Linked DNA regions of Macaca mulatta. The protein of the gene in region 4 interacts with the protein of the main gene of each other region in a biochemical or structural test. Links are inferred from orthologs where the notes say so. Each region holds a gene or a part of one and is shown on either strand. Other genes may lie near its edges.

The links.
Region 1: the proteins of USP8 (region 4) and STAM form a complex in vitro, tested with the Homo sapiens proteins (2 studies listed by BioGRID). The link is inferred for Macaca mulatta from reciprocal best matches to the Homo sapiens genes USP8 and STAM.
Region 2: the proteins of USP8 (region 4) and YWHAE form a complex in vitro, tested with the Homo sapiens proteins (2 studies listed by BioGRID). The link is inferred for Macaca mulatta from reciprocal best matches to the Homo sapiens genes USP8 and YWHAE.
Region 3: the proteins of USP8 (region 4) and STAM2 form a complex in vitro, tested with the Homo sapiens proteins (3 studies listed by BioGRID, with this or other methods). The link is inferred for Macaca mulatta from reciprocal best matches to the Homo sapiens genes USP8 and STAM2.

What each region holds. Positions count from the first base shown.
Region 1 is NC_133414.1:19,266,998-19,272,842, reverse strand, and holds part of STAM (signal transducing adapter molecule 1), read right to left. Parts: intron 3,996-5,845; coding exon 3,905-3,995; intron 2,138-3,904; coding exon 1,945-2,137; intron 372-1,944; coding exon 277-371; intron 1-276. UniProt on the Homo sapiens protein: Involved in intracellular signal transduction mediated by cytokines and growth factors. Upon IL-2 and GM-CSL stimulation, it plays a role in signaling leading to DNA synthesis and MYC induction. May also play a role in T-cell development.
Region 2 is NC_133421.1:2,894,590-2,900,434, forward strand, and holds part of YWHAE (14-3-3 protein epsilon), read right to left. Parts: intron 2,683-5,845; coding exon 2,546-2,682; intron 1-2,545. UniProt on the Homo sapiens protein: Adapter protein implicated in the regulation of a large spectrum of both general and specialized signaling pathways. Binds to a large number of partners, usually by recognition of a phosphoserine or phosphothreonine motif.
Region 3 is NC_133417.1:57,055,456-57,061,300, forward strand, and holds part of STAM2 (signal transducing adapter molecule 2), read right to left. Parts: intron 3,243-5,845; exon of another isoform or gene 3,191-3,242; intron 2,725-3,190; coding exon 2,571-2,724; intron 1-2,570.
Region 4 is NC_133412.1:27,748,664-27,754,977, reverse strand, and holds the start of USP8 (ubiquitin carboxyl-terminal hydrolase 8), read right to left. Parts: upstream 3,708-6,314; 5' UTR 3,659-3,707; exon of another isoform or gene 3,525-3,658; intron 1-3,524. UniProt on the Homo sapiens protein: Hydrolase that can remove conjugated ubiquitin from proteins and therefore plays an important regulatory role at the level of protein turnover by preventing degradation. Converts both 'Lys-48' an 'Lys-63'-linked ubiquitin chains.

The DNA.
Region 1 (5,845 bases), on a different chromosome or scaffold from region 4:
TGGTGAAACCCCGTTTCTACTAAAAATACACACACACACACACACACACACACACACAAATAGCTGGAAGTGGCGGCTGGCACCTGTAATCCCAGCTACTCGGGAGGCTGAAGCAGGAGACTCATCTGAACCTGGGAGGCGGAGGTTGCAATGATCCGAGATCGCACCATTGCACTCCAGCCTGGGCAACGCTGCTCTAAAAAGTTCAGTTTACTCAACTTCCATTAAGAAAAGGATTAGAAAACATTATTTATTGGCAGGCTGGAAAATACTTACTCATTTCTGGTTCAGCAGTGAGATCTGCTGTCACAAAATTAGATGGAAATAACCCTATGCCTTGATGGGTTTCACCTTTCCACCAGTTAGGATCACTATGACAAACAGAAAACAATGCTTTACCACAACATTTTTATTTCTATAAATCTTTATCTTTTGTAGTATTTAACTTACACTATTACAAAATTTGAATCTCACAATAACCCACTGAAAAGGCCAATGAATCTTCCTTTATTACAAAAGAAGAAGCCTCAGAAAAGGTAAGAAGCTATTAAACACAGGGTTGTTTATCCTTTTGACTGTGGATGCATGCTTTGCAGTTATGGACTCTCTCCCAAAAAAGAGGTACCCATATGAAAAAATTGTCAGCTTCAGGTGGTTCACAGGCTCCAGAGTAAGAAGTCTTTGTAATGAGATATAAAGACAGGCTCTCACTTTCAGTCTCCATTCCTAAATCATTGCTCTTTCCAGTACACATTAGCAAGGTTTTTCTTTTTATCTCCCAACAGAACAAATATGAAAGATGACGCTGTTCACAGTGTAAAACATTCACAAAGAGTACACTCCTAGGTAAACTCTAGTATATGGAAAGCTAGCAAGCACTTAATAAATGTTTTTGAAAGAACAGATGCAAGGTTTTGTGCAATTTCCAGCCAACCAGCTCAAATTTTACTTCATTTTCTTCCACTCAAAAAATCAAACAAACAAATAAAAAAAAAAAATGTTAAAATATGTCTGAATGTTTGTGTCTTCCCAAAATTCACAGGTTGAAATCCTAACCCCCAAAGCAATGGTATCACAAGGGGGGGCCTTTGGAAAATGATTAGGTCATGAACGGGATTAGCAACCTTATAAAAGAGACCCCAGAAAGCTCATTGCTCCTGCTGCCACGGGAGGACACAGCAAAATGACAGCCTTCTACAAACCAGAAAGTGGGCATTCCACATACAGTCAATCTGTCGGGTCCTTGACCATGGACTTATACTCCAGAACTGTGAGGAATAAATTCCTGTTGTTTTTAAACCAGTTAGTCCATGGTAGTTTGTTATGGCAGCCCAAATGGACTAAGGTAGTAAGAGAGATACTACAGGAAGAACTTTAAATCAATTTGAGCTGATTTTTTAAAAACACCTGTAAATTTCAATACTGCATTATCAGTAACAAGCATCAGTAACAATTCATTTTCAAGTAAAACATCACAAAGCTAGAGTAAAAAAACTGATGCACCGTATCACCTCCTGAATAAACGTATAATTCCATATAAAATAAAGTTGTTTCATATGGACATACTGTTCTGTGTATAAAAACTCAATAGATTATATGTTTCTTACAAATTCCATTAAGTACATATACATACTCAGTGTTTTTCCAGAACTGTACCTTTTTAAATAATGTAACAATCTATATTATTAGGTAGAACCAAAAATGAATAGATTAAACTACGCCTCCAAAACAAATTAAAAACTAAGAAATAAATAAGAAAAAAATTAAACAAAATAAGAATCCACTGAGTATAACACAAGCAAATCAGCCAACTGTCTGCCATACAGAGAAGCATCTGGGTCAATATTTATTATTATATTTGGTAACTGCGATCAACAGGAATAATATGAAACACCGAAGCCATACATACTTTCATACAAATTTTAAATGTAATATTAACATTACCTGTCATCAAGAACTGTAATAATTTCTCCAGCTTTAAAAGTAAGTTCATTATCTTCAGCAGCTTCAAAGTCATATATAGCACGAACTTTTCGGCCTTCATGTTGGTGGTTAGTTAAGAGGTTGGATGTGCTTGGATACAAAGTGGAAAGGGTGGTTGACTGCTGCCTTTGTTCCTTGAGAGACAACTCAATGGCTAGAAAACAATGAGTTTTTAAAAATCCAAAATGTTATTATATCCAACAATCTGAAGAAGTAGAAAAAGACATCAAGGTAAAAGGTATTCTTCCTTCAACAGCATAGTTAGAAACTAGAACATATCCTGATATATTGAACAAAAATCATGTTGTCAGTTTTATTCATTCATTCACAACTGAAAGTTTAAAAATAAATTAACAAAATTGGAACAGCGTGGTAATTCCTATTTTTACTGAACAAATACAATGTAAATTATTCTGGGTAATAAAAAATACAAACTCTTAGATCTCCTTTTCTTTTTCAGCTGCAGGTATTTTGCATTTTCCTTGACCTTTTAAATGTATTCCTATAGCTTAAGTTTTCAAAATAATCATCAAAATTGCCTGGAAAGTCAAGAGTATCAAGCTTCACTGCAGACTTACTAAATCAAAGCCTTAATCTTGGAGAATCAGGATTTTATTGCTCCAAGGGTAATTCTTAGCAGTCTAAAGACTCAATGTAACAAATCCACCAAAATAGATCTCAAATGTGTCTCCTCTATCTCCACCACTACTCCCCCAGTGCAGACCATCACCATATGTCATTCAGGCTCTGAAATGTAATCTCAGTGCATTGATTATCCTGCTTCCAACTCAACCCAGAGCCCTTTCTGCTCCTCCACTCTTGTTTTAGATTAATAAAAGAACCAATATGAAAACAAAACTTTAAAGCTACTAAAAGTCAATATAGAAAACTATATTTTAGGACCCTGAGGTAGAGAACAGTATTTTTTAAAAGCCACTAAAAAGTAAAAATCATAACAAAAGAGCAAACAGCTCTGGCCTTCTCAAAACTTAAAATTTCTACTTGATAAAATACACCATTATCAAAGTTAAGGTCAAAAACCAGGAGTAGATATCTACAATAATTAGATAACAAATTAATATTTCAAATAAAGACTTCTACATATCATTATTTTATTTAACAAAAGACAATTTACCCAAAAGAAAATCATCATGAGCAGTGAATATACAAAAAAGAACTCAGTCTCACTAGCAATCAAAAAAATTAAAATTAAAATAACAGGACATCATTTTAAACCTACCAGATTCACAAAAGTTAAACCCTTAAGATTACTAAGTGTTGTCAGAGATTAATCATAGCTTTCATACACTGCTAATGGAAAAGGAAATCATAGAACCATTTAGCAAAACCGAAGATGTACCAATGCCATGATCCAACAATACTGCTTTTAGTCACACATAACAGAGACAGTCACATACATGTGCACAGAGAATATGTACAAGAATACTCACTGCAGCTTAATTTTAGTAAAAATAATAATAGTAATAATCAGAAAGAATCCACACATCCATCAGTAGAAAGATAGAAAAATGTGGTACACTCATTAGTACACTGGAATATTACAGAAGCGTTAATGGATATGTCACATGAATAGATCTTAAACATAATGTTGCATGAGAAAAGCAAGTGGCAAATGGCACTTCAAGTGTACTACCTATGAAAAACAAACTTGTTAGACACAAAAAAGTACTTGATACTGTTTTTGGATACACAGTATAGTAAAAATCTGTCATAAAAACATAGACTGAAAGGACACATGTAACAGTAATTGCCTCTCAAGAGGAAAGGAAAGAATACTGAGGAGGGCAACAAAGTAGATTTCAGCTTTTGCTATAAAGTTCTATTTATTTTATCTTTTAAATATCTCAGAGAAAAAACAGAGGCTTATCTTCTTCCCACCATCAGGGACTTAAAAACGTACCTTTTGCTAAATCTTCTTCTTCTTTTTTATTAGCCACAGTACCAGGATCCTTGGCTGCAAGAGCTGGGCTTGCTTTTGCTTGTTCTGCAGCCTGACAAAAAAGAGGAACACAGTATTTGACGGTTGTTATCAAATTCTCCTCCTCTTACCTACCCCTAAGAATTTGTAAAACCTTTCTCATCAATCTAGCACAGATTTCTGAAAAAAGAAATCCAAACTGCAGCAGCTTCCACCTTAAAGGGAGAGGGAAAAGAATCCGAATTGGAGGACACAGAGAGCAACCGGACACTTACAGGAGGCAGCCTAGGCATACCCTCCCAGGTTTGTGTCAAGAGGTTCAACTAAAAGCATATGGTACACAAATCAGAGAAGACAGACTACAGAAGATTTCAATGTGTTTAAAAAAACTCCAAAACCAGAAAAGGGGCTGGGAGACAGAAAGAGATAATTACTTTAAACATAAATAGTTAAAAATTCTTTAATATCTATTAATAGTTATATTTATCATATCCTTTTGGATCAAGTGTCAGGATGTTACCTTCAGGAACTCATATACATATAAATATATATAACGATATAAATACTCAAAAATCCTATTTTGTAAACCAAATTACAAGTAGCTAATTCTGACAGTATATCACTGCCTCTATTAAATTGTGTAAATAAGAGAATGTACAACAAACAAACATATAAATCAATTCACACTTCTAGAATTATAAGTTTCTAAGCCTGTGGGCTCCATGGCCTCTCAGTTTTTGCAAAGCATTCAAGGCAAATCAGAATTTCGCCTGTCTTACCAACCTCATTTCCAATCATTCTACCAGTTACCAGAAACTGCCAGCAGTTCCTGAGCAGTCTATATACCAGTACTTTACAAGTCTGACACTCATTTGCTTCTCCTTACAACGTTCACCCACTATGGCTCCTTTTGCTGCATTCACTTTTTCCCTTTTGAGTTTGAACACATCAGTCAGTAATCAGCTAAAATATCACTCTCAATGAGGCATCCCTAAACCTGTTAATTACACATTCTCTTGTTTGTTCTTATGATAACACCTTTAAACAAGGTACTGTGATATGAGTGGTTAAGAATGTAAGTTATGGAGTCAGGCAGACATGAGTTCAAATCCCAGATCTACCACTTTCTAGCTGGATGACACTGGGCAAATTAGCCTTGGTGCCTCAAATTCCTCATCAATAAAATGAGTACAATAATAGCACCTACACCTCATGGGCACTTCACAGCCTATTTAGAATATTAAATTAACACATGTGATTCCAACATTAGATGAGATGGGCTCATTCAGGGTTTAAAACAAAAAGTATGTAACATTACCTCCAGGGCTTATAATGTATGTAGAGGTAATACACATGACAACTACAGCATAAATGGACCTCTACGGATGCAGAGTTTCTATATTTTACATCAAATATTAACTCAAAGTAGATCATGAAAAGTTATAAATGTATATTGTCATTCTCAGGGCAAACAATTTAAAAATGGAATTCTAAAAAACATTCAAATTGCCACATGTATAGCACTTAGAACAGTGACTGGAACATCGTAACAGGCAATAATCTCAGCTTCTGTTATAATTGTCTGATTACATGTCTGTCTCCACAACCAGACTGTATGTTCCCTGAGGGAATGTGCCTAAATATTACAAGCAATCAATAAATGTTTGTTGAGGGTATGAAAGGAGAAATATTCGACATTATAGTAAAATACAGTTCTACACTCCTCACTTACTGGATTTCGTATTGTCAAACAAACACACAGGCATTTATTTATTTATTTATGAGACAGAGTCCTGCTCTGTCGCCCAGGCTGAAGTGCAGTGGTACAATCTCAGCTCACTGCAAGCTCCGCCTCCCGGGTTCACGCCATTCTCCTGCCTCAGCCTCCCAAATAGATGGGACTACAAGCGCCCGCCACCACGC
Region 2 (5,845 bases), on a different chromosome or scaffold from region 4:
CTCAAAAATAAATAAATAAATAAAAATAAACAAATAAATAATAAAATACACATACACACACACATATTCAAGTCAAGTCACCTTTATTACTTTTTATTACTTTTACTCTCAAACACCCATCCCCAGGGGTGAGAGGGTATCATTTCCTCAAGTCAATCCCGCTTCCCAAACTCTCCACGTGCTTTCCCTCCATCAACAGGCAGAGAGATGCTAGTATCTGAGCTGGGGATGACTGTTAGGAGTCCACAGCTGTTTGGCCATTCTTCTTCATAGTTGTTAAAACAATTTTTTTCCCTTAAGAGATGGCACCTCATTCAGTCATCCAAGTTAGAATGCAGTGGCGCAATCAAGGCTCACTGCAGCCTCAAGATCCCCCAACCTCACTGGAGTTTTTTTTTTTTTTTTTTTTGAGATAAAGTCTTGCTCTATGAAGCCTCGCTCTGTCTCCCAGGCCAGAGTGCAGTGGCGTGATCTCAGCTCACCGCAACCTCCACCTCCTGTGTTCAAGCAATGCTCCTGCCTCAGCCTCCCAAGTAGCTGGGGTTACAGGCACATAGCACTGCGCCCGGCCTTTTTTTTCTTTTCATTTTTTTAAAGACAGGGTCTTACTATGTTGCCCAGGCTGGTCTTGAACTCCTAGGCTCAGGCATCATCCCACCTTGGCCTCCCAAGTCCTGGGATTACAGACATGAGCCACCGCAACCAGAGTGGGATAGATTTCAAGCTGGAAGCCACTTGTTCAGAGTTGGTAAATTGTTTCTGAGTTCCAAGGACTGGGAGTAGCAGCCTGAAATGCTGCGCTGGGAAGTGGTCCGTGGCTCCATCTGGCACTATTGCAAGCGTGTAAGTAAGTCCTATGTATATGAGTATCTCATGCCAATCCCGATTTAGTCAAATCCTAAACATTTCCTAGAGCTAGGAAGCATTAAAAGCTGAGTCTCACTTTAGTACCATAACCCAAAAGTCACAAATCTGATTTGATCCTTTCAGAGAAAAGACACATACGTGCCCACTTTCAGAAGCGTTTTCAAAAAGTGTAACACTTCCAAAGACAATACAGCAGGTCGATTTCCCCAACAGACACTACAGATAGCCTCAAGCAACGCGACATATGTTTCAGTCTAAGAAACTTTTTTTTTTTTTTTTTTTTTTTTTTTTTTTTTTTTTTGAGATGGAGTCTCCCCTCTGTCACCCAGGCTGGAGTGCAATGGCACGATCTCAGTTAATTGCAACCTCCGCCTCCTGGGTTTAAGCAATTCTCCAGCCTCAGCCTCCTGAGTAGCTGGGACTGACTACAGGCGCCCGCCAACACACCTGTTCTATTTTTAGTAGAGACAGGGGTTTCACTGTGTTGGCCAGGATGATCTCGATCTCCTGACCTCGTGATCCGCCGGTCTCGGCCTCCCAAAGTGCTGGGATTCCAGGCCTGAGCCTCCGCGCCCAGCCCAGCTTAAGAAACATGCTTAAAGGAATCGCAGCTAAAACTGACAACAGACTTTGTTTCCAACCTCCTACCAGCACCAGCACCACCAAATGTAAAACTATCTTGTAATGTAATGCTCATATCACACTAATTTGTCTTCTTCTCCACCCCTGTTCAACAATCTACCATGGATAATAATGATTCTCTAGAGAGAGAGAATTAAATTTCCTTTAAAATCAACAAACGTTAACAAATTTGGGCTTCTGTATTTAAAGTAAACATTCACACACACTCACCATCACAATTAAGTTTAGTAAAATACTCTAGCTAAATTGTTTGCAATGAAAACCTCTTAAAAGTAACAACAGCCGGGCACAGTGGCTCACGCCTGTAATCCCAGCACTTTGAGAGGCTGAAGCGGGCGGAACACCTGTGGTCAGGAGTTCAAGACCAGCCTGACCAACATGACGAAATCCCGTCTCTACTAAAAATACAAAAATTAGGTGGACATGATACCGGGTGCCTGTAACCCCAGTTACTCCGGAAGGCTGAGGCAGGAGAATCGCTTGAACCTGGGAGGCAGAGCTTGCAGTGAGCCGAGATTATGCTACTGCACTCCAGCCGGGGTGTTGCAGCGAGACTCCATCTCAAAAAAAAAAAAAAAGAAAAGAAAAGAAAAAAAAAAAGACCCAAGGGCCAACATACAATTTCTCTGCTGAACCCCAGAGGTAAATGGGAAATTAGTTCCCTTTTAGATAAAAAATTTCAACAAAGAGAAAAACTTCATAAATACCTATTGATACCATCTGGATTTAAATACAGTTAACTTCAGCCCCCTAAAATTGAATCTGGACGAAGATAAAATAAACTACTTGCTTTCCACTTTTCCTTTCCTCAACCTTTGAAACAGTGTAAAGGAAGACTTAAACTAAGTTCCCCAAAATGGAACTCGGTACTTTAGCACCATTTCCTATAAAGGCAATAATTAAAATTTCATAGAGAGCAGGCAGTGAGTCTAAATTGTAGCTTGATGTAAAGATATGCCAAGGAATGTCTACAGAGAGTAAAAACAAATCCTGCAACTGAAAGAGGTGCCTCTTTTACTTCCTAGTGTTTGCTTACCGTCACCCTGCATGTCTGAAGTCCATAGTGTCAGATTATCACGTAACAACTGCATGATAAGTGTAGAGTCCTTATAGCTTTCTTCACTCAGCGTATCCAGTTCTGCAATTGCATCATCGAAAGCTGCTTTTGCCAACCTAAAGGTATTTAAATAAATGTATTATAAAAATTAAATCCAAAATCAGAATTAGAAAAGACATGCTAGACATCAATCTCTTCTTCAGTTATTCCAGTGTGTAATAGTGACAATGATACAAAGAAAAAGCAAATACAATAAAAATTAACTTAAAGGTATGTGGAGCACTACTATTTTTTCTTTTTTTGAGATGGAGTCTTGCTCTGTCGCCCAGGCTGGAGTGCAGTGGCGCGATCTGCAGAGGCGCGGCCTCCCAAAGTGCTGGGATTACAGGAGTGAGCCGCCGTGCCCGGCCAAGTTTTTTTTTTTTTTTTTTGAGACGGAGTCTCGCGCTGTCACCCAGGCTGGAGTGCAGTGGCCGGATCTCAGCTCACTGCAAGCTCCGCCTCCCGGGTTCACGCCATTCTCCTGCCTCAGACTCCCGAGTAGCTGGGACTACAGGCACCCGCCGCCTCGCCCGGCTAGTTTTTTGTATTTTTTAGTAGAGACGGGGTTTCACTGTGTTAGCCAGGATGGTCTCGATCTCCTGACCTCGTGATCCGCCGGTCTCGGCCTCCCAAAGTGCTGGGATTACAGGCTTGAGCCACCGCGCCCGGCCCCAAGTTTTTTTTTTAAGAGATTCGTTATGTTGCCCAGGCTGGACCTGAACTCCTGCGTTCAAGCAATCTTCCCACCTTAGCCTCTTGAGTGGCTGGGACCAATGGTACAAACCACCCCCCCCCCGAGATATTTAACAAAGTATTAATGCAAAAAGAAAATCTTGGACAATACCTCAAAGTTTAATAAAATTTAATTTCACATTAATGGAGGCAGGGAAGCAAAGAAAATAAAAGGCAACACAGAAGCCACGGAAATGTGGTCATGTAAGCCTTTTACAGTTTTTTTTTTTTTTTTTTTTTTTTTTTTTTTTGAGACGGAGTCTCGCTCTGTCGCCCAGGCTGGAGTGCAGTGGCGCGATCTCGGCTCACTGCAAGCTCCGCCTCCTGGGTTTACGCCATTCTCCTGCCTCAGCCTCCTGAGTAGCTGGGACTACAGGCGCCCGCCACCGTGCCCGGCTAATTTTTTGTATTTTTAGTAGAGACGGGGTTTCACCGTGGTCTCGATCTCCTGACCTTGTGATCCGCCCGCCTCGGCCTCCCAAAGTGCTGGGATTACAGGCGTGAGCCACCGCGCCCGGCCTGCCTTTTACAGTTTTAAAAGAAAATCCACACCTACTGAATACTGTGTACTATGCCCAAGAAATGATACCAGATACCAATAGAAAAAAAAAAAGAGAGACATAATCTAAGTCCACAATCACCTTAAAACTTTAGAAATGGAGGATGGACAAATGTGTAACTATTTTAAAAGAAGGAGGAGGCTGGGTGTGGTGGCTCACGCCTGTAATCAGCACACTTTGGGTGGCCAATGCGCGCGGGCAGATCACTTGAGGCCAGGAGTTCAAGACCAGCCGGGCCACCATGGCAAAACCTATTAAAAACACAAAAAATTAGCCAAGTATGGTGGTGTATGTCTACAGTCCCAGCTACTCAGGAGGCTGAGGCAGGAGAATTGCTTGAACCCGGGAGGCGGAGGTTGCAGTGAGCTGAAATTGTGCCACTGCACTCCAGCCTGGACAAAAAGAACCAAAAAAAAAAAAAAAAAAGAAGACGACGAAGACTCAAGTGCTACTCTAAATGAAGTATCTCAGGGACCCAGGAGGAGCAATTAATGGGAAGGTCAAATTTGAGCTAACCTTAATGGATCAGGAGAAAGCAAAAAGAACACACTTCAAGTTTAAGCAAAAGCATGAGCAAAGGCATGGAAGTGACTTAAAACTGGAGCTACACGTGGGACAGCTAGACTGGAGTCTGACAAGGAAAGGTGCAACCACCAGTATCAGTTAAATAGCCAAAGCTTCTTCAGTTATGACCCCTATCCTGGACAAACTCAACTAGCCATTTAGAATATTTTTAGATTGGCTGAGTGCAGTGGCTCACGCCTGTAATCCCAGCACTCTGGGAGGCTGAGGTGGGTGGATCACCTGAGGTCAGGGGTTCGAGACCAGCTTGACCAATATGGTGAAATCCCGTCTCTACTAAAAATGCAAAAAAAAAAAAATCAGTCGAGCACAGTGAAGCATGCCTGTAATAGTCAACGTTAAAGTTCTAATGTATCAGTTAATCTACTTTCCTCAATCTCTGAAAGGCTTTCACTTAAAAAATCTACTTGGCTTAAGCAGTGGTCCTCGACAAACCAAAAAAAAAAAACACACAAAAAGCAGAAGAGGCCGGGCATGGTGGCTCACGTCTGTAATCCCAGCACTTTGGGAGGTCAAGGCAGGCAGATCACGAGATCAGGAGATCAAGACCATCCAGGCTAACACGGTGAAACCCCATCTCTACTGAAAATATTAAAAAATTAGCCAGGCTTGGTGGCAGGTGCCTGTAGTTCCAGCCACTCGGGAGGCTGAGGCAGGAGAATGGCGTGAACCCAGGAGGCGGAGCTTGCAGTGAGCCGAGATCGCGCCACTGCACTCCAGCCTGGACAACAGAGCAAGACTTCATTGAAAAAAAAAAGCAAAAAACAACCATTTTGCTACTGCAATATTTACTGTAAAAATTTAAAAGAGGCCGGGTGCAGTGGCTCACGCCTGTAATCTCAGTACTTGGGGAGGCTGAGGTGACCGGATCACTTAAGGTGAGGTCAAGACTAGCCTGGCCAACATGGTGAAACCCCGTCTCTACATAAAAATACAAAAATCAGCCAGGTATGGTGGTGGGCATCTATAATCCCAGATACTTGGGAGGCTGAGGCAGGAGAATCGCTTGAAACCGGGAGGCAGAGATTGCAGTGAGCCAAGATTGTGCCACTGCACTCCAGCCTGGGCAACAGTGACAGGCTCTGCTTCAAAAAAAACAAAAAAAACAACAACAAAAAAACCAACAAAACAAACAAAAAACAAAGGAAAAGAAAAGAAAAGGCCAGGCATGGTGGCATCCTCCTCTAGTGACAGCTACTTGGAGGCTCAGGTACGCGATCAGCTGAGCTCAGGAAGCCATGACTGCAGTGAGCTATGAGTGCACAACTGCAGAGACGGAACAAGATCCTGTCTGGGGAAAAAAAAAAAGGTACACACAGAATTTTCAGTCCCAATTCCACCTCAAGGTGAAGTTAAATACAAG
Region 3 (5,845 bases), on a different chromosome or scaffold from region 4:
TCCCAAACATGTGCCTAATAATATATTTAAAATGTTAAAAGACTTAAAGGAAAGAAACTATATGTCTTTGGGAAGCAATCTGATTCTACCAATCTATCCATCTTAGAACTAAAAGTGGTGAGCTGTCAAATCACAGTGCCATATCTATGGAAATTTGATTTGTTTGGCTGTTCTTTTATTTTTACAGAGAGCTGGGAGAAAGACAGGTGGTATACTTTTAAGTAGTGGATTGCCATCTATCCAGGTTGCCTATTACTCAGTAAACATGTCTTGTTGTAGAGCCACAGAAAACTGTACACTCCCTTGAAGGGAAGCCCACCATCACTTAAAGTCACTATAAGAATGATAACCTTCTTTACCCTCATCCCAGGATGACTCATCCAACTCCTTCCTAAGAATGAAACTTAAAAGAACAAGCTGAAAAAGAAACGGTATAAGGATGCCAGGGCTTCCCTGGCAATGTCTACTTTATCTCTTACCTTTCAGACAAACAGGACAAAAGTAAGGAAGAGTTATTGGTAAAAGACATGTATCCTCAGGAAAGAGCAAAAATGGTTTAGGTCTCTTTGGACATTTATATGCGCCCTACTTATTTTCAGGACAACAGCTCCTTAAGGACAGGGTCTACCACCTGTCTACTATATATAGCATCAAAACAATGCACACATTTAATATCATATCATACCATAATGATCATCAATCCAGTTTTAAATTAAGCTATTTTTTTAAAGCAAAGACCATTTATCTGAAAATTTAGAATGCTAGAAATCCCAAATAAGCTATATTAAGTACAATCACATTACCTCCTTAGTAGACATGTAACAATCTACTGACAATAGGCTGAGACTGTGAGAATCAGCTTCTTCTGCAGTTTAGGGTTCCTGAGCAGCCTACACAGATACAACTAACTTGTTATCCCAATTGCTTCTAGTAGAGATGTATTTTTGTCAAATTAGAATAGAAACTTTTGAATATTTCAAATGCTTGAGTGAATAGTGTAGATACAGATTATGTGAGGAATCAAACAGAAAGTTAACTTTTCAGAGAAATGAGTTGTGCTTGGCAAAATGCAGTAAGCAGAATGCAAGTAAACACCGAAACCTGACACAGAATAGCAAATAACCCTTTACAGACACATAAAAAAGCCAACATAGGCCAGGCGCGGTGGCTCAAGCCTGTAATCCCAGCACTTTGGGAGGCCGAGACGGGTGGATCACGAGGTCAGGAGATCGAGACCATCCTGGCTAACACAGTGAAACCCTGTCTCTACTAAAAAATACAAAAAAAAAAAAAAAAAAAAAACTAGCCGGGCGAGGTGGCGGGCGCCTGTAGTCCCAGCTACTTGGGAGGCTGAGGCAGGAGAATGGCGTGAACCCAGGAGGCGGAGCTTGCAGTGAGCTGAGATCCGGCCACCACACTCCAGCCTGGGTGACAGAGCGAGACTCCGTCTCAAAAAAAAAAAAAAAAAAAAAAAAGCCAACATAGTTTTATCATACAACGATGCAGACACTGCTTTTTGTCCCACTTTCACAGCAGCAGCAAACAACTCTGAAAACAGAAGCAAACTGAGTAACTCCCAAATGTCTTTTGCAGCCAGAAATCTTTCTTACCCTCCTAATTTTCAAAAAGATCAAGGCATGGCACATTTGATAAATGTATCTTGTCTGACGTGACAGTTACCATAGTGACTATTCTTTTTTTACTTAACAATTACGTTGTGTCATCTAAATTATTCACCCACATTCTACCCTTTCTCCTTGGTGTCTCCTTCACATGTACCTTTAGATACCAGTGTTCATAAATTAACATGCATTTTGCTCATCCAAGCTCATTCTGAATTCAATTGGCTAACTGGCTGAAATTTCAAAATGCTTCTGAATGGGGATACTGACAAATATAAAGTATTCACTTCATATGGCAAGCACACAAAAAAGGTGAAAAGTACTGGAAAAAGATGGCTTACGGATGTTCATGGATGGCTTATGGAGTCTGTACCTCCTAGATGTGTATCATATCTTTGCTATGCACAAATTTTTAACAATTTAAGTCATGCAGCTAAGTAAAGGAAGTATAAAGCATACTCTAGAAGTTCATTGTGCCTGTTAATAATCATGTGAGTCAAATAAATCTTTATGGAAATTTGTAAAGAAATGTTAAATCTTGTTGAGCAGCAGCAAAGTCTTGGTACCTGGGGAACTTCTGATATGCTAGGTACCATCCAAAATCAAAGGATTTATACTCCACATTTACAAAAAGGATTTATACTTACATAAAAGATTTATGCTTTATACTTACAAAAGCATATGAAGAACCAGAACTACCCTCACATACTTAATGGTCTTTTCATCCATGTTAAAACTGAACTATAATGTATTTGTGAAATGTCAGTATCTGTCTAAGTTGTTCTGGTGAATGTTAATTGTTCAGTCAATATTTACTGAAACAATCAAAGATAAATTTTATAATTTTATTTACATACAAAAGAAATCTTAATACTATGCTGTAAAACACTTTCTTTTACTTTAAAACTTGTTTATAATTTAGAAAATGTTCTCAAAAAACATGCTCACCTGCATTGGAACCCCGGATGATGCAGGTGGGTAATGTGCTGGAGGGTGGAGCTTTGAATAGACTGAGTACACTGGTGCTTCATTCACCAATTTGTTATATAGTTCCAGAGCTTCCAGGACTTTTACATTCAATTCAGACAACTCTGAATGCTTCCTGATGTAGAAGAAAAGTATTATAATACTCTTCTAGTTTTTAGCATCTGTTTAGTGATATGAATTATTTTTTAAATTTAGCACAATTTCTATTCATATATCAAAAGGCTATTTTATATTTAATGAAAGAATATTCACAAAGGGAAACTGAGAGGAAGAACTGCTTAATCCTTGTAATAGCTAGCCTGATACTAAGGCAGGAAAATAGGGTCTGGAGGCAGGGAATCTAAGGCTGTTTTTCAAGCTGACTTCTTGTAACTACACTGAAAGGAAAACCAACCCTAACTTTCCACACCTAAGTAATAAAAGGACCAGAGGCTGCTCCCTTTGCAAACTCCCCACGTTTTCTGTGCAGCAGATGGGAAATTGGGTGTCCGAAAAAAATCAGACTGATTACAAGTCCAGTCTTCCTTTGCAACTTTGTAACTTCAGCCTCCGAATGGTTGCTGTCCACAACCAGCCTCTGAATGGCTGCTCCAGCCTCTGAATGGTTGCTGTCCACAACCAGTCAGACTGACTGTGGGCGGAGTCTTCCTTTGCATACAAGCATAACTGTAACTTCTCCCTAGCCTTTAATTGGTTGCTTTTTGCAACCAATCAGATGGTTGCACAGCACTGTGACCTTTGTAACTTCATTTCAGCCTCTGGTTGGCTGCTTTCTGCAACCAGACTGATCGTGAGCTTCCACTTCATTTACATGAGGTGAGCATGAAGCGGCCAATGGGAAACTTCTAGGGGGTACTGTACTTGGACCCAAGAAGGTTCTGTATCCGGGTCCTTCAGGTGCTGCTCAGGCCCACTTCCACACTGTGGGGCGTACTTTCGTTTTCAATAAATCTCTGCTTTTGTTCTTCTGTTGCTTCGATCTTTCTTTCCTTTGCTGGGCATTTTGTCCAATTCTTTCTTCAAAATGCCAAGAACCTGGACAACCTGCAGTCACAATCCTCTACCAGTGACAAAATGACTTTATAATATTAGGGAAAAGTCCTTTCCATGCCTCATAAAATGCAATCAATTCACAATTTTGGTGCTGAGAGAATTTACTTTCACACATTCCAGTTTTATTTTGAGAATTCAATTATTAAAAAGAAAATTCTCAATTTGGGTAAGAATCTAGGCCTGAATTATAAATCTCAATAAAAGAAAGTACCCAGGCAAGGCCCAGAACCTCTATGAAGTACACGATATGATGGAAATTTAAAAACACTTGTTAAAAAAAAAAAAAACCACACACACATTTTCATTTGTTTATATCCATAAAAATATCAACTGAAAAAAAAAACCTACTTAAATAATTACCCTTGAAAATCCAAGTAAAAACAATGTGTAAGACTAGTCTCTACAGCTCGTTTGTTGGTTGATTTTGAGAAAGTAAGTAAACCAATACTTTATTATGTAGTAACAAAAAATCCAAATAAAAGCATCTTCAAATATGACCAAGAAGCTTCAGAGCAGACTCTTCCTACTTGAAACAATTTTGTCTGTTCCCCTGGGAGTAATAAAGAACTCTCTTTGCACTGTCAAATTTATAATAGTTAAGCAACCACTTTTCATCTGGCCTGAAACATCCACAAGCCTTTTTATTGAAATGTGGTTCTTTCTATATAAACACAGAGAGGCAACAAGCAGAGGCACACAGACACAGGACTACCAAGTAAACAGCCACTGAGTCCTATCAAGATTTGTCACTTTTCTTCTATTAGTCTTTTACGTCTGAACAACAACAACAAGAAGTTTGTTCCCTCTCTGGTAGGAATGACTGCATTAAGCAGGTCAAACTCTATTATCAAAAATAAGAGTTACGAGCCACCCAGAAAGCTACAGAAATTAGTGCCATGCTAACAAATGCATAACTAAAATTTAACTGTAGGAAATCCACAAAACCCAGTATGTTGATGAAACAACAGAAAAATGCAGTAGAAAGACGTGATCACTGTGTTTGAAATCCCCTGAAAGATATGAGACACAATCCCAGAGTAATAAGGCAAAAGAGCAACTTGATAGATGGTAGAAAATGATCTTTGGAGGACAGGAGGAAATAAGATTAGAATAGTCTGGAACATAGTTAAGGCCAGACTATGAATCTCTCTTCAATAAATCTACCTAAACTTTTTTGGAGTCAATTTACATGTTTACTCAATATAATTTCTTAGGGTGATAAAATGCTACAAAATTTCATTCTGTAAAATGACAGAAATGAAATGTACAATTTAACTTTCTAACAGTAGAGTTGTTTTTCTCAGCAGGAATAACAAACGCAATGATCCATTCAAGGGAAAAATTGGTATTTTATTCATCTCTGAATACTTGACAAGGGTAAATAACAGTCAATAAGAATTTGTTGAAGAACAGGAAACATTTCCCAGAACAGGAGCTGCATCTGCAGCTGTGGCCATGGAACAAGAAAAAATGCCAGTTGGCCTATTCAAAAACTGAAACTGGTAAGAAAACTGGTTAATGATTGAGTTCTCACTCAAAAAATTAACTACCATCAGAATGGTCACTTTGATTTTTTTTTTCTTTTGAGACAGGATCTCATTGTGTCACCTAGACTGGAGTGCAGTGGTGCAACTGTGGCTCACTGCAGCCTCCTTGACCTCCCAGGCTCAAGCAATCTTCCCACCTCAGCCTCCTGAGGAGCTGGGACCACAGGTGCATACCACCAAGCCCAGCTAATTGTTAAAAAAATTTTTTTTAAGAGATGGGGTCTCACTGTATTGCCCAAGCTGGTCTCAAATTCCTGGGCTCTGATGATCCTCCCACTTCAGCCTCCTGAAGTGCTGGGATTATAGGTGTGAGCCCCCACACCGGCCTCACTCTGACTTCTAATTCTTCTAGATCTTTTCCTTTAACAAAATTATTTTTATGAACCAAAAATAAGATTAAATTGTCATAGCTTCTGCCTTTTTTCATTATATATTATAATATCTGTTCATATCAAGGGATAATTATCAAGGACAATGATATTCATTGTAGAATGTGTGGACACACACTCAGTCCTCCATGTCCATGGGTTCTGCATCCGTGCACTCAACTTCAAATTGAAAATACAAAACATTAAAAAAAATTGTGTCTGAACTAAACATACAGCCACATCTGTAATACTTTTTAATCTTTTCCAG
Region 4 (6,314 bases):
AGGAATTCAAGACCAGCCTGGCCAACATGGCAAAACCCTATCTCTACTAAAATACAAAAATTAGCCGGGCGTGGTGGTGGGTGCCTATGGTCCCAGCTACTTGGGATGCTGAAGCAGAATTGCTTGAACCCACGAGGCGGACACTGCAGTGAGCCGAGAACACATCACTGCACTCCAGCTTGGGAGACAGAGCAAGACTCCGTCTCCAAAAAAAAAAAAAAAAAAAAAAAAAAAAAAAAAAAAAAATTAGTATGGCTATAAATGTAGAATTCTAAATAACTTTAATATAATATGTCATCATTCAGTACTAGTAAATTCTATATTATGGAACTGTTGCAGGCCTTACTTTCCATTTATTAATCATATGACTTTCAACAAATTCCATAAATCACTCCCAACATGACCACCACTGCTCTTCAGTTTACTTTCATCTGCAAAATGAAACAGGAATGATTTGTCTGCTTCTATAGGGTGACCATAGGTATCAAGTGAAAAAATATACAAAAACATGTTTTGAAAACTGTAACATGCCGGCCGGGCGCGGTGGCTCAAGCCTGTAATCCCAGCACTTTGGGAGGCCGAGGTGGGTGGATCACGAGGTCAGGAGATCGAGACCATCCTGGCTAACATGATGAAACCCCGTCTCTACTAAAAATACAAAAAACTAGCCGGGCGTGGTGGTGGGCACCTGTAGTCCCAGCTACTTGGAGGCTGAGGCGGGAGAATGGCATGAACCCGGGAGGTGGAGCTTGCAGTGAGCCGATATCGTGCCACTGCACTCCAGCCTGGGCGACAGAGCGAGACTCCGTCTCAAAAAAAAAAAAAAAAAAAAAAAGAGAACTGTAACATGCCATTAAAACATAATGCATTATGGTTAAAGAAATTGGAAATGGGTTGGGCGCAGTGGCTCACGCCTGTAGTCCCAGCACTTTGGGAGGCTGAGGCGGGTGGATCACAAGGTCAAGAGATCGAGACCATCCTGGCCAACATGGTGAAACTCCATCTCTACTAAATACAAAAATTAGCTGGGCGTGGCGACATGCTACTTGGGAGGCTGAGGCAAGAGAATGGCATAAACCCAGGAGGCAGAGGTTGCAAAAAGCCGAGATCGTACCGCTGCACTCCAGCCTGGCGACAGAGCAAGACTCCATCTCAAAAAAAAAAAAAAAAAGAAAAGAAATTGGAAATTGGAAGCATACCTTATTATTCATCTGCTATATAAATGCAAACAAGAGTCCAATACAACTTTGTCATCAAAATTACAGTAGACAAAGCATGGCCACAAATTCTTTGACATTTTTCCCTTCAAAAGTGAGGGTTGGATACTGGTCTGACTGCTCTAACCAACAGAGTATGTTGGAAATAATGTTGTGCCTATTTCTGGGTTCAGGCTTTTTGGGAGACACGCAGCTTCTATTTCCTGTCTCCTCAAACATGTATTCTTGGAACCTAACCACCATACTGTTCACGTCAGAAGTTCAAGTCACGTGAAGAGGCTATGTGTGGGCATTCCAGTTGACATTTCCAGCTGAACTCCTAGCCAACATCAACTGCCTTCACATGAATTAGCCATTTTGGATGTCCAGACCAGCTGAGCTCTCGGATGACTCCAAACTCAGCTGCTTATCTGAATACAAACGCATTAAAGTCTAGGTGAGAACCACTTAGCTAAGTACAGGCAGGCCAGAGAAACAGGAGAGATATAAATTATAGTTTTAAGCCACTGTGTTTTGGAGTCATTTGTTACGCAGCAATAGGTAACTGGGACAACAACAAGGTATTTTTTAAATGTTTCCTTAATTATTTCTAATTTTATTAGCAACACATCCTTGAAGACTTTTTTTCCTTTCACTTCCGTAAATATGAGCGCATTTTCATGTAGAAAAGTTCATAATAAAGTATAATGCTAGACTTATGAAAAAAATTTAATGTACTGGTTTTATTTTCCAACTGTCTTACTCAAAAGTCATTTTGATTATTTTCCATTATGTCCACGCTTTTTATTTTAATTTTTTGAGATGCAGTTTTGCTCTTGTCACCCAGGCTGGAGTGCAATGGTGCAATCTCAGCTCACTGCAACCTCTGCCTCCCCGGTTCAAGCGATTCTCCTGCCTCAGCCCCTGGAGTAGCTGGGATTACAGGCGTGTGCCACCATGCCCAGCTAATTTTGTTTTTTAGTAGAGACCAGGTTTCGCCATGTTGGCCAGGCTGGTCTCGAACTCCTGACCTCAGGTGATCCACTCTCCTCGGCCTCGGAAAGTGCTGGCATTACAGACGTGAGCCACTGCGCCCAGCCACGTCCACATTAATAAACAAATGCCCATAATGATTAATAAAGTCCAAGTAAATATATTAAAAAATGAAATGCTAAAAAAGTCACCTTTAAAACATTTTTGTTAGTTTTTCTTATACATTGTTTTCTAAAAAAAATACATGCCTATGTGCAAAATTTCATTAATGACAGGTGTGTATATATATATATTTTTACTACTACAGGGTCTTCACTATCTAATATTAAAGATGCATCCAATGTGTCACAAGAAAAGGAATACCTATTTCAAGGCAGCCATATCAACATGATAAAGACATAACACAACCGATATCACCTTCCAGATATGCTTAATGGTCCAGGGATATGTTGTAAGGAGAAACTACCCAAATCTATCATGAATGACATTCACCAACGAATCTTAAACAGAATCGGCTGAAATGCAAAATCTGCTTACATGGCAAAGCCGCAGCAGAGCAAGCCTAAAACAGGAACACTTCCTTAACAAATAACCACTTGGCATTTTTAATGGCTGCAGCAAGATATTTACAAAACTAAGGATGCTTCGCAGATTCAGAAAAGGTAATATCCTTTAGATACAAATCCCTTTCATCTGAAACCCTCAGGTCTCTTAAATTCTAAATTCCTTAGGCTCTGCAACACCTCCGTGTCAGGTAAATATTTTGTTAGTGATTAAGTGACTTGTTCAAGGTCACAGAATGAACTGGAGGCAAGAAATAAACCCAGGAGGGTGGTCTGCAGCTTTCTATATAAATGCACATCGCTGCAAGTAAGGATTCCGATAATTTCCAAGGTGGAGTGGCGGCGAAATGAACTTGTCCCACAACTCTAGGTTGGAAGGCACTTTTTAGGGGGGCGGGGAAAAGCTTCTATTTGAGGCAGTCATAGTTTTAACTCTGATAAGCTTATAGGGTCTTTAAACTCCTACTTCACTAAAATGAAGTGTGACTAGGGAAGAGGAGAAACTGGGAAACAGTTTTAGGAGCTGTAGTAAGGCCTGGGATTGTAGGCAGATTGCAGAGAGTAAAATAAAAAAAATAAAAAAAAAACAAAAACAAAAAACCGGAAGCAAGAGGAAAGAGGTCAAAGTCGGGTATAAGTGTCCAAGAGAACGGAAGAATGGTCAAAGCCACCTTTTAAAACCGAAAAACCGCACGAAACTCGCTTGGCAATCCTAGATGGGTGGCGTAAAAGACTCAAGGTTGGGCCCTTCCTCTCCACAAGCCGGTTCTACCTTTCGGAGTTGTCCCACTCCTCTCCGCGGACAGGGCTTGTCTCCCGGGTGACCAGCAGCTGGTGGAAGGAGAGGGGGTTCACAGCGGACGACTTCCCAGAGGACAGGTGCCAGGGCCCAAGACCCGCACTCACCGTGACGCCCGGCGCGCTTCACTAACGCCAGCCTTCTCGCCAAACGCCCATCTCCCAAGAACTCGAGGGAGAATTAGCCTTGGCTATCAGGACGGAAGCCAGCCCAGCTCATCCCCTTTTCCCGATTTGCATTGCGAGGCGACGCGTCGCGTCTCCAGACGTCACGGTAGGGGCTGGGCTTCGCGTGCGCTCCTTGACTTCTCTCTTCCACCGCCCTCCCCCTTTCGGTGAGGGCCGAGCGGCGGGGCGAGGGAGGGTCGAGGGAGGGTCGAGGAGGACGTTATGGGTGGGCGGCGGCGGCAAGGGCGGGATTTCTCTGAGCCGGATCAACACAGTCGGCCGGTTCTGTACCCCCCGCACTGCACCCTGCATTTCCGGGTTGCAACCGGGCGGTAGCCAAGCGGCCCAGGTTCGCTTCGCATCCTGGGCCTTGTGGAAGAAGCGAGGTTGCTCTTGCATCCCTTTACTACGTTATTTTCCTCCTCAGATTGGAAATTAGAAAAAACTTAAAAGGGGATTTAACGCCCCTCTATTTCTGTCTTAACATTCTCTGAAGCCAAGCCTTTCTTTGGTCAAAGAAAAACAGGTATTATCCTAAAACATATTTTATGTACAATTTTTAACGTCATTTAAAAGGCCCCGTCGAGGCCGGGCACGGTGGCTCACGCCTGTAATCCCAGCACTTCGGGAGGCCGAGGCGGGCAAATCATGAGGTTAGGAGTTCGAGACCAGCCTGGCCAATATGGTGAACCCCCCCCACCCCCCATCTCTATTAAGAATACAAAAAAATTAGCTTGGCGTGGTGGCGCGCGCCTGTAATTCCAGCTACTCCAGTGGCTGAGGCAGGAGAACTGCTTAAACCCGGGGAGGGGAGGTTGCAGTGAGCCGAGATCGCGCTGCTGCACTCCAGCCTGGGCAGCAGAGCAAGACTCCGTCTGGTTGGGGGAAGGCCGGTCTAACAGAAACGAAATGAGAGGTCTGAACTTTCTCGCGAGCTGATCTTTGTACTCTCTTAGAGAAAGGTGATTGGATGCTCCGGTTATCTGTAAACATAAAATTGATTTGGGTGGAGCTTTAGGCAGTAGTCACTAAGGCCTCAGGAACACTCCGGGTGTCTTAGGGATGGGAAATCTGGCAGCAAGATCTAGTAGACGTAGGCCGGGCGCAGTGGCTCAAGCCTGTAATCCCAGCACTTTGGGAGGCCGAGACGGGCGGATCACGAGGTCAGGAGATCGAGACCATCCTGGCTAACACAATGAAACCCCGTCTCCACTAAAAATACAAAAAAATTAGCCAAAAAATTAGCCGGGCGTGGTGGCGGCGCCTGTAGTCCCAGCTACTCGGGAGGCTGAGGCAGGAGAATGGCGGGAACCCGGGAGGCGGAGCTTGCAGTGAGCCGAGATCGCGCCACTGCACTCCAGCCTGGGCGACAGAGCGAGACTTCGCCTCAAAAAAAAAAAAAAAAAAAAAAAAAAAAGATCTAGTAGACGCTTTTAAGTGAAAGTGTGTGCCACATTGTACAGTGTAAACTGCTCGGGTGATGGGTGCACCAAAATCTCAGAAATGACCACTAAAAAACTTTTCCATGCAACCTGTTACCCCAAAACTACTGAAATGAATTTTTTTTTTAAAGGATAAAATAAAGTGTGTTCAATGAATTTGTAATGAAGGCCAGTTTCAGTGGCCCAGGCCTGTAATCCCAGCACTTTGGGAGGCTGAGGCAGGAGGATCCCTTGATCCCAAGAGACAGAGACCAGCTTGAGCAACAAAGGGAGACCCCCATCTCTACAAAAAAAAATTTTAAAATTAGGCTGAGTGCAGTGGCTCATGCCTGTAATCCCAGCACTTTGGGAGGCCGAGGTGGGCAGATCACTTGAGGTCAGGAGTTTGAGACCAGCTTGGCCAAAATGGTGAAACCTCGTCTCTACTAAAAATACAAACATTAGCTGGGCGTGGTGGCACGCACCTGTAATCCCAGCTACTCAGGAGGCTGAGGCAGGTGAATTGACTGAACCAGGAAGGTGTAGGTTAGATCATGCCACTGCACTCCAGCCTGGGCAACAGAGCGAGACTCCTCCAAAAAACAAAAAAAAAAATCTAAGTTACAAATAGCATTTCCGTTTTCCATAGAATCTAAAACTCCCCAAAATTTCTGTGAACTACAGCAGTATTTTCTCCACTTGGTAAGAGACATAAGGACAGCTTTACTACCCTTCTTTATCCAAACTAAGTTAAGAACAGCCCAGGTTTCCTGATTCTCACTCCCAAGTAAAACTAAATAGGTTTTATGTATGTTGCAGCTGTTGCACCCTTTTCCTCTTTGAAATAAAACTTTTCTATTTGTTTGGGGAAAGAAAACATGACTGAAAGTCCAAAGTGTTAGCTTAGAGCTCAAAACACTAGCTGCTGTTTCAAGGTCCAGTCTCCATGTGGACGGCTCATGGCCTGTTTAAATTGTTGCCATAAGGAAATGGGGCAGAGTGTTGCCAATTTTCTGATTTTCTGTGCGTGGGAAAAATCTCCAAACTGCTTTTTAAATTTGGGGAATATTTTTTATATATATATATGTGTGTGTGTGTGTGTGTGTGTGTGTGTCAACTAACGTAATCCATATACACACGAATTGTTAGTTGACAACAACAGTATACATAAAAAA